Saccharomyces cerevisiae S288C: one gene and its partners. The protein of the gene in region 2 interacts with the protein of the main gene of each other region in a pairwise test. Each region holds a gene or a part of one and is shown on either strand. Other genes may lie near its edges. The genes, in order: YER158C, BOI1, ZDS2 and YJR056C.

What was found.
Region 1: the proteins of BOI1 (region 2) and YER158C interact in binary tests that used the Saccharomyces cerevisiae proteins (3 or more experiments, as listed by UniProt).
Region 3: the proteins of BOI1 (region 2) and ZDS2 interact in binary tests that used the Saccharomyces cerevisiae proteins (3 or more experiments, as listed by UniProt).
Region 4: the proteins of BOI1 (region 2) and YJR056C interact in binary tests that used the Saccharomyces cerevisiae proteins (3 or more experiments, as listed by UniProt).

What each region holds. Positions count from the first base shown.
Region 1 is NC_001137.3:488,308-492,306, reverse strand, and holds YER158C (uncharacterized protein), read left to right. Parts: upstream 1-1,728; coding exon 1,729-3,450; downstream 3,451-3,999. Other genes in the region: negative cofactor 2 transcription regulator complex subunit BUR6, read left to right, coding at 349-777.
Region 2 is NC_001134.8:62,196-67,381, forward strand, and holds BOI1 (Boi1p), read left to right. Parts: upstream 1-1,680; coding exon 1,681-4,623; downstream 4,624-5,186. Other genes in the region: YBL086C (uncharacterized protein), read right to left, coding at 1-407; anaphase promoting complex subunit CDC27, read right to left, coding at 4,974-5,186. UniProt on the Saccharomyces cerevisiae protein: Functions redundantly with BOI2 to promote the fusion of secretory vesicles with the plasma membrane at sites of polarized growth.
Region 3 is NC_001145.3:49,858-55,030, reverse strand, and holds ZDS2 (Zds2p), read right to left. Parts: upstream 3,392-5,173; coding exon 563-3,391; downstream 1-562. Other genes in the region: YML108W (uncharacterized protein), read right to left, coding at 1-238; COQ5 (2-hexaprenyl-6-methoxy-1,4-benzoquinone methyltransferase), read left to right, coding at 4,077-5,000. UniProt on the Saccharomyces cerevisiae protein: Acts as a negative regulator of polarized growth via an alternative mechanism to ZDS1. In heat-stressed cells appears to play a role in localizing BCY1 to the cytoplasm. Seems to interact with, and down-regulate, CDC42. Also acts as a suppressor of PKC1.
Region 4 is NC_001142.9:541,229-544,466, reverse strand, and holds YJR056C (uncharacterized protein), read left to right. Parts: upstream 1-1,964; coding exon 1,965-2,675; downstream 2,676-3,238. Other genes in the region: CDC8 (bifunctional thymidylate/uridylate kinase), read right to left, coding at 1-405.

The DNA of each region.
Region 1 (3,999 bases), on a different chromosome or scaffold from region 2:
ATCTGTGTTACGTTGTGTGTTTATATTTTTTTAACTGTTCGTGAATTATGACATTCTATAAAAAAGAATCTTTTTGTATTTAAGGAGAAGAATTTTCCAGGCCAAAATTAATTTTTTTTTTTTTTGTCAGGTAGCGTGATATTTCCTATTACCCTTAAAACACATGAATTTGCGAAAGAAAGGGCAATGCACTGAGAAATAAAAAGGCAGGCAAAGAAAAACGTATACAAAAGGGGATTATTTTATTTTGGGGCATTAAAACCAAAAACGGAAAAAAAAGCACGTCACGAAAATAAAAATTCAAAAAAAAAAATAAAACCAGTTACAGTACTCATCACTACATTCTTAATGGCAGATCAAGTACCAGTTACAACACAACTACCACCAATAAAACCTGAACATGAGGTACCACTTGATGCTGGAGGGAGTCCAGTAGGTAACATGGGTACCAACTCGAATAACAACAACGAGCTAGGTGATGTATTCGACAGAATAAAGACACACTTCCCTCCGGCCAAGGTAAAGAAAATAATGCAGACAGACGAGGATATAGGAAAAGTTTCACAAGCCACGCCCGTAATAGCGGGCAGGTCCCTAGAGTTTTTTATAGCGTTATTGGTGAAAAAAAGCGGGGAGATGGCAAGAGGACAAGGAACCAAGAGAATAACCGCCGAAATACTAAAAAAAACAATTTTAAACGACGAAAAATTCGATTTCTTAAGGGAAGGTCTATGCGTAGAAGAAGGCCAAACACAACCGGAGGAAGAGAGTGCCTGAGCAGAACGGGGCGATGTAACTTAGTGTAAAATGAATACCACATCTATATATATCCATATACCAATGTATTTATATCTATATATGTCTGCACATATATATTATACTCTATTATCAAGGACGAAACGTAATCACATATGTATCAACGACAACCGGCGCCTCATGTAATCTGTACCTTTCTCTACAGTTACATAGCATGAGTATGTGTATTCCTATTTAGGAAAAAATTAACGCTATTCTTAAGGTTTACGAAAGAGCATGCATCACCCCATACGATCCCCGGAGTAACTCCCGCAGGTGGGTGTGCGGGCGCTCAGCCTGCTATACGATTTAGAAACGAGGCGCTGCGTTACCGTCTGTGACTTCTTAAATAAGATTTTTAGGTGTCCCATCCTTCCAACTGTGCCTACACCAGAAAGACAAAAAGAAAGGAGGAAAAAGAAAAGCTAATTTTTTCTTTCAAGTGCCAAAGGAAGCGGACGAAGGGCTAGCTCGAGGATTCTTGCAGCAACGGAGGAAGGAGTGTGAAAAATCGTTAAGGTTCTCGCGGTTTGCACCGCGTTGCGTTCGAGACACCAAAGAAATGTATACTTGCAGATTGTGCTGATATGCTAGTTTAAGCCCAAGCGGTCTGGTTGTTGGCTTCTTGCTTCTGATAATTACTTAATATTAATACCTCAAAATTACGCACTTGGAAATATAATACAGGCGTACTCCTTTTGTATTTGTCTTTCATCTGCACTTGACTTCAGCTTTCTTTACTACTGCTCTATATACAGTAATCTGTTTACACTCATCATCAAATAACTGAAGGAGAGCTACGGCAAAATACTTGTTTATTGTCATATTATTGCTATTGTTGTTTTTTCCGTGCTGACACAATAGGATTCATTTTACCAGGCTAAACACATAGCCACCACCGCTCGCTACTACTTCCACTCACTCTTAATCAGCATGTTACAGCAGGGTTCTTCCTCGAGGAGGAGTTTGCATGGTAATGATTTTCACACGCTCACTTCTCCTTCAAGGAGAGACTCTTTGAGTATTCCTAGGGCTGTGGACGCTAGATCTGCGTCTACGATTGATCTGTTCTACATACCGGATGCTACCGTCTCAAGGAGGCACTCTACTCTGGTGGCTAATAGATCAGACAATAATGGTAATGGCGCACCGATGCGCCAGTACAATAAACCTAACTTTGCTTCCTCCTCGACTTCATCTCTGCCTTCAACTAGAAATCGCCCCTCTCGCTACGATAACATGAATATGAATATGAATATGAATATGAACATGAACATGAACATGAACATGAACATGAACAACCATACTACCAGTGATCACAATGCGCACCCGCAATATCGTTGTAGACCAAACCCGTCCAGACGCCACTCCTTAATGACCATTCCCGAAAAGTACTCTGGTAGTCGCTACAGTCTCCGATCATCCCCGCCTACCTATTCTAATCCACGTGTTAGGAAGGAACTTACTCCTTTCCAATTACAAAGAAAGCAGATGAAAAGCGCTTTTCAATTCCCCAACGGTGAAAATTTCACGCCAAGAAACCAGATAGCAAGGCTTCCGCCATCTTCGACTTTTCCCGACTCTCCTTCTAGTTCATCGTTGCCTTTGACCCAGACTGGAGGCCCATCTTCCGCAGATAACGATTCCATTGCCACTGGCACGAACAATCGTTCTCCTCAACAAACGAAAGCTGCTGATGCTAATCAGAAATCTGAATCCGAGTCTCCAAAGGCAATTAGATCAAATTCTAAAAAGATATCTCGTTTCTTCAGGAAAATCTGGTCGTCCAAGTCATCAAATTCTGCAGATTCCGTAGAAGAGAATAGCAAAACAAAGCAGAAAAGGAAAAATCCGGAGAGAGTTGTACCAGAACCGATAACGTCCCTTGACCAACCGGTTGAAATTATAAAACAGAGTTTTTCAACCGTTAACAATCACGAAACGGCTGTACCTTCAATTAAGGACTCTGGCATAGTACAAGAATTGACAGCACTCGGAGATAATAACAGGATACCAGTTCTTCCACCCCCTAGGTCACCAAACAGACCTACACTGTCTGATAAACGAACTACAAAGTTATACTACTGTAGTCAAGATTCGTCTAATGAAGATATTGCTCCAGAGGAAAAGAGCACCGTTTTCTTAAAGCGTTTGCAGGATGAATGGTCTACCGTGTATTTAAACAAATTGCCTTTGACTGCTTCTGTGCCATCTTCTCTCTCTACCACTACTGATGCTGCGAACTCTTCGTTCATAAACTCTTCAATATCATCGCCGGCTCCTTCTTCTTCGTCCTCGTCATCGTTGGTTTCCCGTGGACCAATGCAATCCATATCTTCTTCGCCAACACCTGCCCCTTCTTCAGGGTCATCGAAATCTAAAAATGCCGTCAAATCCTTACGCTTTGCGGATGAGATTTATGTAAACGATACGTGGTCCGCCGCGGACTATTGCAGGTGTGATAATACCTTTTTGAATAATTTCTTTAAAGGAAAGAGCCAAGACATTACCAATCCTTCTACTTTTGTCGGTAATAATCTCTCATCCACAAAAAATATATCCAATATTGAAATCAAAATGGAGGTGAATGAGTTCAAAAGAAAGGAAATGCGCGTTCACCAGGATAGCGCTAAGTATACACATTACTACTTATAACGGGTTCATCAAGCTTTTTTCCTTCTTGAGACTCTGTTGTATCTCTTTATATATTCTATTTTATTTTATATGCATCGAACTTTTTACGTAAGATAAATACTTACTACATTTTGGATAATTGTTTTAACAGGTTAATTTCTATAATCTATTTTTTATCTGCTCTTATAGCATTCAAATATTTGCAGCGGTAAAAAATTATGGTTAAGACCCGCGCGACTGTAAAAATAGCGCGTAAGATTTCCCTGAAGAGCGATGAGTTTTAACATTTAAAAGATATGTCTGAGATCAATCGCTTTTTTACCAGCTACCTAACTTTATAACCTTAACCGATAATTAGAATTTTTTACAGTGATTATCTAAGAGTGTTAATGAAGTTTTTATTGATGGATGCTTGCTTAACGCGGGGGCTCGAAAATTACTTAATCACATTTTTATCGCCTATGGACATACTGATAGGGAATATTTGAATTATATCATTTCGAATAATGTTCAGAATATAGTGCTGTGGTAATAATCTTAAGATGATAAATTTTAATTCACATAAAAAAC
Region 2 (5,186 bases):
TTAGCATAGGTCGTTTTCTTCACTTTGCCATTGGGACTAGAACTAGAAGTCAACGAGGAATTCGCATCAGCAAACTCAAAAAAAACATCCAACACCAAAATTTTCTTCAAGAATCTGCCGTTTTTATCCAAGTGGAGCTTCACCAGGATTGGTTTGTCTAATGAATAATTCCATTGTGCTCTATGATGTTGCACATGCACGTGTTTTGTTGTACCTCTACTCTGGGTCGAAGTGGTTTGATGCTCACCGTCCAGAGCCACTTTGTGTCCCGACGTACCTGTTCCATCCTTCAAACGCCATTTCGTGTAGCAATAGCCAGAAGATTGAGGAATATTTACCAATTCTTTGATTTGCAGGTCCAGTAGAAACTTTGGTCTTTTTGCCTTGCTATTATGATTAAATGGCATCTTAATATTTTGTGAGCGGTATTATACCTTTCTTGGGTACCTAATACTTCTAAGCAACCTGAATGAAATTAGAAGGTGTTCACTCCTTCATTAGCAAGTGAGCTTTGCCGTTGTCACCGTACTTGGTCATCTTAAGAGATACAAAGGGGGGGGACCCTGAGAAAACTTCTCCCGAAAAAAAAAAAAGAAATATACCCACGCGTTCTTTACCCGGAAATAAATATCTTGATTTAGCCGCCGAGATTGTTATATATGCATCCAAGACCTCTGAATGGTGGCTAATTAAGACACTTAACTGATTACGTTTCCATCAACTGCTATCATGTTCGCAATATTTGGGCAAGAAATGAAAAAGAAAAGTTACCAACTCTTCTCCCTTCTACGAGCGGTGAATACATGGGAGCCGAGCCGCATGAAGATGAAAGTAATATTAAAATTAAAGTCTCTATCGAAGCAGTGACTCTCTCCCTATCAGCCGGTAAATTTTTTTAACGAAGTGGAGCTAAATTATCAGAAAACGTAGAGCTGGTATGCTGGTAGATCTAAACGAAGTCCAGTTTACATCAAGATGATATCGTGCAATATTTACTACGGCATGACTTAACAGTACAGTCATGATTTAGGAATTTGAGTGTTCTCCGGGGTTTTGCAGATAAAAATTTGTTTTCTTCTCTGCCATTCCTGGAGATTTTGAAAAGAGTTGGTAATGTGTTTCAAAAGAAAAAAATACATTCCAAGAATAAATACCAGGATTTCGTGACAAAAATTAAAAAAAAGGGAAGTATGGCATGCCTAGAAATCTTTTCTGGAAAACTTGAAGCATATCATATAATTGTATGAACTTGTCCTTCAAAAGATGTTACCAAATATTCAAGAGTATGTGAGCTTTCTATTCTATTGACGCGTAAGAAAGGCTATCACGTGTGGGGGGGAGAGCTCAGCCACATTGCACTACTTTCGAAACCGCGTAGTCGGAAACGACATTCCCCCGTACCAAAACAAACGAAAGGACGTGAAAGGTAAATGAATAACATGGCACTAAAAATTTGGCAGAAAACGAAAAAAAAAAGGAAAAAGAAACTGAAAACTATACGCTTCCCTTAGGATACTTTCTGATTTACATCCGAAGAATTGGGTGCGTCAATTAAAGGCAATTCTTCGCTCTATCAAGCAGTTTTACTGCGTCTGTCTAAAGAAACAATTGTTTTACTGAATTTCAACAAAGTTCTAACTCGAGGTGACCGGAGGCCACTGTAATAATAAAAAATAGAAGATGAGTCTCGAAGGAAATACCCTAGGCAAAGGGGCCAAATCTTTTCCTCTGTATATTGCGGTAAATCAGTACTCTAAACGAATGGAGGACGAGCTCAATATGAAACCAGGTGATAAAATTAAAGTCATTACTGATGATGGGGAGTACAATGACGGCTGGTATTATGGGCGCAATTTGAGAACCAAAGAGGAAGGTTTATACCCAGCGGTATTTACCAAAAGAATAGCAATAGAAAAACCAGAGAACCTGCACAAATCACCAACCCAAGAGAGTGGAAATTCTGGTGTTAAATATGGAAATTTAAATGATTCTGCGAGTAACATAGGTAAAGTCTCCTCGCATCAACAGGAGAACAGATATACATCATTGAAAAGTACAATGAGCGATATAGACAAAGCCTTGGAAGAGCTAAGAAGTGGTTCAGTTGAACAAGAGGTATCAAAATCGCCCACACGCGTGCCCGAAGTTAGCACTCCACAGTTGCAAGATGAACAGACTTTGATTCAAGAAAAAACCAGAAATGAGGAAAACACGACACATGACTCGTTATTTTCTAGCACAGCGGATTTAAACTTAAGTTCTGAATCTTTGAAGAATATAAGTAAGTCAAATATATCAACAAAATCCCTAGAACCGAGTTCGGAATCAGTTCGTCAATTAGATTTGAAAATGGCTAAAAGTTGGAGCCCAGAAGAGGTTACTGATTACTTTAGCTTGGTTGGATTTGATCAATCCACTTGCAATAAATTCAAAGAGCATCAAGTCTCCGGAAAAATACTACTGGAATTAGAACTGGAACACCTAAAAGAATTGGAAATAAATTCTTTTGGTATAAGATTTCAGATATTCAAAGAAATAAGGAACATCAAGTCTGCAATTGATTCGTCGTCAAATAAACTGGACGCCGACTACTCTACCTTTGCTTTTGAAAACCAAGCTGCCCAACTAATGCCTGCAGCCACTGTAAATAGAGACGAAATCCAACAACAAATTTCCTCCAAGTGTAACAAGTTGTCAAGTGAAAGCTCTGATAGAAAATCATCTTCGGTCACCACAGAATTGCAAAGACCAAGCTCGGTTGTTGTTAATCCCAATTTTAAACTTCACGACCCAGCTGAGCAGATCCTAGATATGACAGAAGTTCCTAATTTGTTTGCTGATAAAGATATTTTCGAATCACCGGGAAGGGCTCCAAAACCACCATCATATCCAAGTCCAGTTCAACCTCCACAATCGCCCTCTTTTAATAACAGGTACACAAATAATAACGCAAGGTTTCCTCCTCAAACAACATATCCACCTAAAAACAAGAACCCAACCGTTTATTCAAATGGGCTAATTCCAAATTCTTCGACATCTTCCGATAATTCAACGGGCAAGTTCAAATTCCCTGCCATGAATGGTCATGACTCGAACTCTAGGAAAACAACACTGACATCTGCTACTATACCTTCTATTAACACGGTTAACACAGATGAATCTCTACCCGCAATTTCAAATATATCTTCAAATGCTACATCTCATCATCCGAACAGAAATTCCGTTGTTTACAATAACCATAAGAGGACGGAATCCGGAAGCTCATTTGTTGATTTGTTCAACAGGATTTCAATGCTATCGCCAGTCAAGTCAAGTTTCGACGAAGAAGAAACGAAACAACCTTCAAAAGCTAGCAGAGCAGTTTTTGACTCAGCACGCAGAAAGTCGTCTTACGGACATTCAAGAGATGCCTCACTTTCTGAAATGAAAAAGCATAGGAGAAACTCTTCTATATTATCTTTTTTTTCTTCAAAAAGTCAGTCTAATCCAACGTCACCAACCAAACAAACTTTCACTATCGATCCCGCAAAGATGACTTCCCATTCTCGTTCTCAGTCGAATTCCTATTCGCATGCAAGATCACAATCTTACTCCCATAGTAGAAAACACTCGTTAGTTACCAGCCCCTTGAAAACTTCTTTAAGCCCTATAAATTCCAAATCCAATATTGCTTTAGCGCATAGCGAAACTCCTACTAGTAGTAATAATAAGGAGGCAGTATCACAACCAAGTGAAGGGAAGCACAAGCACAAGCACAAGCACAAGAGCAAGCACAAACACAAGAACAGTAGCTCCAAAGATGGCTCTTCCGAAGAAAAAAGCAAAAAGAAATTATTTAGTAGCACCAAAGAATCATTTGTAGGAAGCAAGGAATTCAAAAGATCTCCCAGTGAACTTACCCAAAAATCTACCAAATCGATACTTCCCAGGTCGAATGCTAAAAAGCAACAAACATCTGCTTTTACCGAAGGTATACGCTCTATCACAGCAAAGGAATCTATGCAAACTGCGGACTGTTCAGGCTGGATGAGCAAAAAAGGTACCGGTGCTATGGGGACTTGGAAACAACGGTTTTTCACACTTCATGGAACAAGGCTTTCTTATTTTACGAATACCAATGATGAGAAGGAGCGTGGCCTGATAGATATAACGGCACATAGGGTCTTACCTGCCAGTGATGATGATAGGCTCATTTCCTTATACGCTGCGAGCTTAGGAAAAGGAAAATACTGTTTCAAATTGGTCCCTCCGCAACCGGGGTCCAAAAAGGGGCTAACCTTTACAGAACCTCGCGTTCACTATTTTGCAGTTGAGAATAAATCTGAAATGAAGGCATGGCTGTCAGCCATAATAAAGGCCACTATTGATATTGATACAAGCGTCCCTGTCATTAGTTCATATGCCACACCAACGATACCTCTAAGCAAGGCACAGACGCTATTGGAAGAAGCTAGGTTACAAACCCAGTTAAGAGATGCTGAAGAGGAAGAGGGAAGAGATCAATTTGGATGGGATGACACCCAAAATAAAAGAAATTCTAATTATCCAATCGAACAAGATCAATTTGAGACCAGCGATTACCTGGAAAGTTCAGCATTTGAATACCCTGGTGGCAGACTTTGAGAACTGCAATCATTAGTTACTTCTTGACCAACTTAAACACCTTAATAATTAATATTTAATAGAACATAATATAGTGATATAAAGTATATAAAAATAAAAAGTTTACGAATTAATACAATCAAATTAGACACTGATACTATCAAGAAGTACATCGCAGGAACCGCAGACATGATGTCCTCTTCTTTCAAATTACTGGATATATATATTATTATTATTGTTACCATTAACGTTATTATTATTAACTATTACTATTACATTAACTTAAAAATAAATATGAAACAACGAAGAACAAAAAGAATTATGAAAACATTTAACATGTTTCAATTTGTTATGTTTTGGCCAACCTGCGTTTATTCTTGCATATGACATTTTTGTAATTCATCGATGATAACTTGGTTACCCTTTGGATCCAAATTCATAGCAACAGTTAGCTCCTTGATTGCATCTTTTTTCCTCCCAACTATTCTATATGTTTGACCCAGCAAATAATGGGCTGTGGCATCATCAGGAACGAGTTTCACCAATTCTTCAAAAGTTTGCAAAGCAACATTATATCTTGTCAT
Region 3 (5,173 bases), on a different chromosome or scaffold from region 2:
CATCGCTACTAATTTCGTATTTGATATGACCTTCGTTCGGTATACATATTTCGGCATCGAACTTATCAAACCAGGTATTTAATTCGTCCAGTTCGTCAACATTAAATGGAAGTATCAACTCGTCAACAAATTCATGCATTTTTCCCGGCTTACCTTTCAAAAATTTTTCATCTTCTTTATTTATCTTGGTGTCGTCTTCTAGTAAGACGAGCATCCTATAAGTATTACTCTTGGACATTTCGTTTTTCTCTTTCGTCTTAGTGTAGTACGAGATAGAATTCAACCGCAAGGTAGCCTTGCTGTATTGGACAGATCATTCGAATTTGTTCCAAATAGGATGAGATGAGGTCGGCTTTTCTTCATTCTCGCTAGAAAATTTAAAAAAAAAGAAAAAAATAATTACATAAATATATATTTATATGTATATACTGTAGTCCTTCCTTGCATGAAAAGACGACGTTTTTCGTGATAATAAGAAGTTTGACACTAAAAGGGCATCCTTACAATACTTGAAATATGTGGCCTTATATAGGTATCTATCAATCTTGTAAACAGTTATGAGTTAAATGTCTGGAATTAAGATTGTGCCATCAGAATCATTTTTGTCCATCATTCCCAAGGCAGAATCACCATTGAAGGCTATATCTCCAGTGCCCACCTGCTCCATGTATAAGGTATGATTGACTAAATTCAAGTAGGAGTACATGAAGTTACTTAGCAATACTTGTTGTCTTAATTCCCTCCCGGGATCGCTAAGCTTCAGATGGCTGAGTCTGTAAATAGCCCTTTCAACATTAATTCCTAGACGATGGTCAAACATAATCACTGTAGAGTTGGTTATCATTGGTAATGGGAATCCAAAAGCACTGTCTGTGAATTTTATTGGAGCGTTTGAGTAATCTGGTTTAACGACATCTTCAAATGTCAATTTTCTTGGAGGCAAAGTTGAGATTTGAGGGGCAGTAGGTGAAGTGTTGTCTTCTCTCTCTGCTCCTATATCCTCTTCTAGTCCAGCTGTCGTATCTCTACTGATACTAGAGTGCACTTCGACGTCGTAGTTTACATCACCACCACTAATATCAAATGAATCGTCGCCATCTAACTCGCTTATAGTTTCCACCACAAATTCAGAACTGTGGCTAGTATGGCTGTCAGGAAGAAGGGTGGAAGCATTTGAACTTCTCACTTCTGGTTCAATGACGCTTGCTGTATCTATATCTTCGGTGGTAATTGTTTTGGTGGGGGATGAAGGGCGTTCAACTTCCGCTTCTTGGGGCTTTTTCTTGGGACTTTTCCTGAATTTTGATAAACTCGAATGCGAAGCCTTCTTTTTCAGTTCTTTTTTAACACTTTTTTTGATTACTTTCACATCTGATTTGCAGGTACCATTATGTTGTTTTCTTTTGAATAATTTGGCAAGCCTTTTCTCCAAGGAATTTTTCTTATGTGTACTGGCTTGGGTGTCAGTAGGCAGTTCTACCTTTTTCTCCACGACTGCCGGTGCAGTAGGCTTAGATGGCTGGGATTCAGATGAAGAAACGACTGAAGGAGTGATTACCACGGATTTTGCTTCTTCAGAATGTATCTGGAAAATTGGCGAATGTCTATTTTTGGAATGGTTTATTCTTTCAGAGGCACGTTTGGTAGATTTCGCTCTCCTCGATACACTCAAGTTAACAAAGTCAGCTTTTTCATTGTCCACACATTCTTCATCGTCTTCATCATCTGTAAGCTGTTGATAAGTTTGTTCATTAGCGTTCAAACTTCCATTGCTAGAATTCAACCATGACCAGCCATGATTTGCTTCGCTGTTATTGGTATTTGATTTTTCACTCGAGCTAACGTGCTGATCCAATTTTTCAGAAATCATCGAACCAGTGTTATGCGGCTTTATTAAAACGCTGTTGTTAGAACTATCTGTAGATAAAAGACTGCTCTCTTGAGAAATAGATGCATGTGTCAAATCTTCTTCATCCGAATAGTAGTTGGTGCTATCAACGTATTTCTCATTTTCGGTACTCCAATCAGTACTTGTTCTTCTGTAATGGTCGAAAATCTCGTGAAAATCATTCAATGATGCTTGCTCCTGAGGCACTTGTGTGTAGGAGGCAGGCGATGATGCACTTCTGCGATTGTCATTAGTTTGTATATTCATTAGGCTATTGAGTTTTACCGCCTGTGGAAGGCTACTACCCTCTAGTCTGATCTTATATGTGTTGAATTTAGACCTCCTTAGAGAAGATCTCTCTGGTATGGTAAGTCCAGTTTCATTAAACATATTTGATGCAAATTCGTTATCATTTTCAGTGTGATTGCCGTTCAAATGAAGACTTTCGTTGGTAAATGACCCTGACATGCTCAAGCTTCTGGCTAAAGTCACCGCATCTGAGTCCGTTAAACCGGCATTATTGGAAATCTTAGTAAGCTCTTCAGTAATTTCTTTCAAAGATACAGATCTTATGGTTTTGATGTCAGATGAGGATATTCGCTTATCCACTTGTATTTCTCCTTCTTGTGGTTTGTCTGCAAGGGGAGGTTCGTCATCAAACTTGGTATAAGATGTCTTCAACCGAGAAGGCCTTCTAACTACAGAGCCCGTGCGTTTTCTATTCGAAATTACATGATTGTTACCCAGTTCTAATTTGTTTTCATCAATGTCTTGATTTGTGCTTATTTGAATGTTTTGTAAAGTGTCCTGGATCAATTCCAAATAGTTTTCGGGCTTAACGTTAGGATGTTGGTCAGCGGGCACCCACAAAAGGTTTTGAGTTAAATCAACCATTTTTGAATCGTGGTCGTTCTCCACATCCAATACAACATCGTGAGCCAATGTCTTTACTCCACTGAGCCTTCTGTTCCTCGACGTTACTCTTGCTGAAGATGAAGTGGATGAAGAAGCATTACGGATGATTTTTTCCTTCTCCAATGTTTCTTCATCATGCAAATACTCTGTTTGAGTGATATCTATACTGTCGTCGACATTAGTAGCATCGCCCTCTTCATATGCATCATTGTCTTCGCTCCCTTGTTCTTCCTTTTGTTCTGATCGTATAATGTTCTCTTCATGGAGCGATTCTTGAAGGGATTCCTTTGAGGAATCTGAAGAATATGAGTTTCTACTGTTCACTTTGAACTCTAGCTCAGGGTCAATTACCAAATCCATTGAACCAATCGACAATCGCTTCAAATTTTTCACATTCTGAATTTCTGTATCTAAAGACTTGGCAGCAATTAACACGTCAGATTTCCTCTTCTCAAAAAGCTCCTTCTTGGACAGCTGTGTCTTCCTCATTCGCCTCATTTGAATATTATTATTACTGTCCGTACCACCACTACTGTTTTCTACAGTATTATGGCCATCTTTGTTTTGCATATCTTCCATCAGTACCATAAAATTCTAATTTAAATTCAGTCTATAGTGCAAACGTGATCAATGTAAAGTATACGATACTACTAACCTTGACACTGTTCTTTAGCGTTTTACTCCAGTTTTCAATCATATTATTATGATCTAACGAAGATGAGATGAAAACAAAAATAAGACGCGGCGTGTGCTACCCGCACAACGCGTCAGCAAATGTTACTGGTCACAATAATCATGCACTTATAATTAGCTACAAAAGGCCACTTCTAGGTCCAATGTGACCATTTTGCAGCCAAATCAAGCATAAACCGGCCGTGATACTATCGGCGATACACAGCCTAAATTTCTGAGTTTTGCGGTTTTCTCTGTGGGAAAAGTGCGAGAATTTTTCTGAATTGGGAAGAGTACATGTCAAAAACGGGAAGTGACACCATTGAGCAAATATCAAGGTATCCGATAGTTCTGTTCTCGATATTGGAACACAGTTATTTGGCAAATGTATCATTAAATGAAAGTCTTTCCGTATAGGATTCTGCCCTGTTGCCTGCTCTTCCCTAATATGGAAACTAGCTTCCGCATTTGACAAAAACTGAAAAAGTGGAAAAAAAAGGATCACACAAGAAACTATAAGGATATCTGCCACCTTCACTCCTTATACAGCTGCTGTTACAATTGCAAAGGGAATAGTACAGATCGCAGCAAGAAAGATATAATGTTGATTTCTTCACGGATCGTTCGAAGCTCGCTGGTAAATGTCCCGCTAAGATTATCTAGGTGTTTTACGCAAGCTCACAGAGCATGCAAAGAAGAAGAAGTTAATAGTCCTTTATCATCCGCAGCTGAACAGCCAGAGCAGAAGTATACGCATTTTGGTTCGAAGACTGTATTGAAGTCTACCAAGCAGAAGTTAGTTGGTGATGTCTTTTCTTCCGTGGCCAATCGGTATGACTTGATGAATGATGTTATGTCATTAGGAATTCATAGATTGTGGAAGGACCATTTTATCAATAAACTAGATGCGGGAAAAAGGCCAAACTCTACGACTCCTTTGAACTTCATAGATGTGGCTGGGGGATCCGGTGATATTGCTTTCGGATTACTAGACCATGCTGAGTCGAAATTTGGTGACACTGAGTCTACAATGGATATTGTAGATATCAACCCTGACATGCTTAAAGAAGGTGAGAAGAGAGCCATGGAACAAGGAAAATATTTCAAGGATCCTCGTGTGAGATTTTTGGTTTCTAATGGTGAGAAACTAGAGGAGATTGATTCTGATTCCAAGGACATCTACACAGTCTCCTTCGGTATCAGAAATTTCACCGATATTCAAAAGGGTTTAAACACTGCTTATAGAGTTTTGAAACCGGGCGGTATTTTTTATTGTCTAGAATTTTCCAAAATTGAGAATCCCCTAATGGACTTTGCTTACCAACAGTGGGCTAAGGTCCTACCTGTAATGGGCTCGATGATTGCTAATGACTACGACTCTTACCAGTATTTGGTGGAGTCTATCGAAAGATTTCCTGACCAAGAAACGTTCAAATCCATGATTGAGAAGGCAGGATTCAAATCTGCTGGCTACGAAAGTTTAACTTTTGGTATATGTGCCATCCATTGGGGCATTAAAGTTTAAAGTAAATAGAACAAATTTCCTTTTTTTTTTGTCAAGAAAATCGAAGCTAGTAAAACATGCCTATACTATTTCTGTCTCTCTTCTTCTTTAGTAATACCTGTGCCATGTGATAGCCATATATTTTGCTGTGATGTGCAGAATTCGTATATACTAGGGGGAAATAGAACGAAAGA
Region 4 (3,238 bases), on a different chromosome or scaffold from region 2:
TTGAGTGCTTAAAAATAATGTCAAATCCGGTTTCAGCAACCCTACATCGGGTTGCAAGCACCAATCCAAATCCATTCCATTTGTCCCCTTAGCGGCAGAATATGCCACTCCAGAATAAACATATCTGTCCATGACAATGTTCTTGCCTTCTAGTAAATCTTTCTTTATCTTGTCAACTATTTCCCATCTATTTGCCGAAAACAAGAGGTGAATTGCCTGATCTGATAATTGGAAACTATCATCCGTCAAATATTCGTTTATGAGTCCTCCGATTCGGGTAGACCTTTCGGGGAACTTCAATAGTTTACAGTTTGGTTGCAATTTTTTGTAAAGAATATTACATTGCGTGGTTTTACCAGTCCTATCCAATCCTTCTATCAGTATTAATTTGCCACGACCCATCATTCAAAATGGTGATCTTTCTGTCCACTATGAATCATATTTAGTTTAGAAGCGTACTTCTTGGGAAGACGTTACATTTTTTCGCCATCTTTAGCACCACGCCTAACGCGTCAAAAGTCACAACCGCATAGAAGCCGTTATTCTCTTCTTCATTTCTAAGCTATTTTCCAACTTTTTATATTATCAACTGTAACCTACTAGTTTAGGATATCGCTTTCTCCCTTTGTTACCAATGCACAATTATTTCGTAATTATAAAAATGGACCCGTGGAACAAATTAATGTTTGGAAGAAAGGTGAATTTTTTGATAATTGCTGGGATTCCATTGTTGGTAAAGACTTAATATTAGGTATACAGAATATACTAGGAGTTCTCTCTGGGTATGTAGGAATCCACAAAAGGGTGTCACTAGTTCAACATAATAATGTCTTTTTTTTATTCCTTCTTTGATACTTTGTCACTCATTATCCTATTACATTATCAATCCTTGCATTTTTAGCTTTCATTAGACTTTGTTACTGTTTCTCAATCCTTATGTTATCTTCTTACACAGTATGGGATAATATAATAGTAACATGAAAACTCTTCGATAGGTAATAGTTGATTCTTGTTCCAACGTTACTATAGCTATGGAAAATAACGCAGCAGCATATGAAGTTTCGGCTCTAATCCACTGTGCAAAATACAGGTTTCTCTCTTCAAAAGGTATCCTCCAGAAAAGTTATGAAGTATTTTCATATGATGATGCTGACTTAATACTTCCCAACCGAAAATCACATTTGCGAATAAGCTGGTCATGATGTCGCTATTTCTAATTCCGTTGAAAATACTTACGTTTGTTCCTCAGTTGCTATCTCATTTCAAGTATTTGTTCATTAATTTGTCAGTATTCTCTTCCATCCCTTAGCTTTAGTATAAATTTCACTCTGAACCATCTTGGAAGGACCGGATAATTATTTGAAATCTCTTTTTCAATTGTATATGTGTTATGTAGTATACTCTTTCTTCAACAATTAAATACTCTCGGTAGCCAAGTTGGTTTAAGGCGCAAGACTGTAATTTATCACTACGAAATCTTGAGATCGGGCGTTCGACTCGCCCCCGGGAGATTTTTTTGTTTTTTATGTCTCCATTCACTTCCCAGACTTGCAAGTTGAAATATTTCTTTCAAGCTCTTAACGAAGAGTTATTATCAAATTGTGACATATTCCTTTACACAATACGGAGATAATATATTAACGAACTCTTGTAGCCTCTTTTCCTTGTTACCCCACCTATATTTTCTTCACTTTTCGAATTTGTTCTAAAAGTGCGCTTGAAAAAATTTCAAATGGTTCTTTTTCCTTACTCGTAAAGGCATCTGGACAAAAGCATCGTTTCCACCTTCCAAGTGCACGTTAGCCTGATACAAATCATTGGTGGTGAAGCGCAGCCATTCATTCTACTGTACTTGTCTTACGTCGTTTTGCAGTTTAGCATCGTGGCAGCTCATACAATTACATTTCAAGAAACCTTTTTTACCGACGACACATATCTAATTCAAGAGCAGAATATATTCAATTATGGAGCAAATGCATTCATTGGAATCAAGTTTACCTCCAGAGCAACCTCCTACAAAGCAAGCGATTGAGAGTCTTAATTTGGAACTTTCTCAAGAGTTCAAGCTAGCCGCCAATGCGGTGACAAGACTTTACCGGGTGGCTAATGAGAAAAACTCTTTAACCAAACATCAGGGCTACCTCACCTGTTTGGATGATATACTATGTGCATTGGACTCAAATGTGACTGCTGACGAGTTAAGGGCTTGGTGCTATAAACGAAGAAATGATATCCTTTCAAACTCGCAGGATAAATCTTTAAATCCGGTGAAAGAAAGGGAAAGAAAGCTTAATAAGTTCAGTGAAAACCAACACCGCGAAAATGAAGCTCATAAGGAACCTTTTGAAAAAGACAGCGCAGTCAAGTATAATTTCAGTTTCAACGAATCAAATGGGGACCTCTCAAATATTAATGAAAATATAGCACCTAAATTTAGACTTTCTATGCCGCCTTTAAGTGTCGAACATCCTCCTAGGAATGCTAGTCGTATAAAATCCTGGAAAGCACGAACAATCAATCACGGAAGAGGGGACACGAGAAACCTAAATGACATAACGGGACTTGGACATGAGCGTGAGCGTGATCGTGAAAATACACATTATGAAAAAAAACCGAAATTGGATTCTGATTCAGAAGTAGACATAAGGAGTTTCCGCCAGGATATGGACCTGTAAGAACACCCGGGAAGAGGTTCTCAAGTTAGAAGGAGCCCATTGCATTGTAGGTATAATATCGAAAATATTTAAATATTGTTTTTGAATCTCATATATACATACGTTTCAGAAAGCACATAGAAATAAACTTTCAGTGAGCCAGATGGTGTCTGATAACTTACGATATATGCAAAAAGTATGTTATATGTAACCGCAACAGTAGCCAAAAAAATCTCCGCGACGGGGAATTGAACCCCGATCTGGCACGCGACAAGCGCCCATTCTGACCATTAAACTATCACGGATTTTCTTTCTGTACAAATCTGGATTTTCTGTTATTATATAACAAATCAAAAAAAAGTTCCGAGTAATTAATGTTGAGATATGTTGGAATAAAAATCAACTATCATCTACTAACTAGTATTTACGTTACTAGTATATTATCATATACGGTGTTAGAAGATGACGCAAATGATGAGAAATAGTCATCTAAATTAGTGGAAGCTGAAACGCAAGGATTGATAATGTAATAGGATCAATGAATATTAACATATAAAATGATGATAATAATATTTATAGAATTG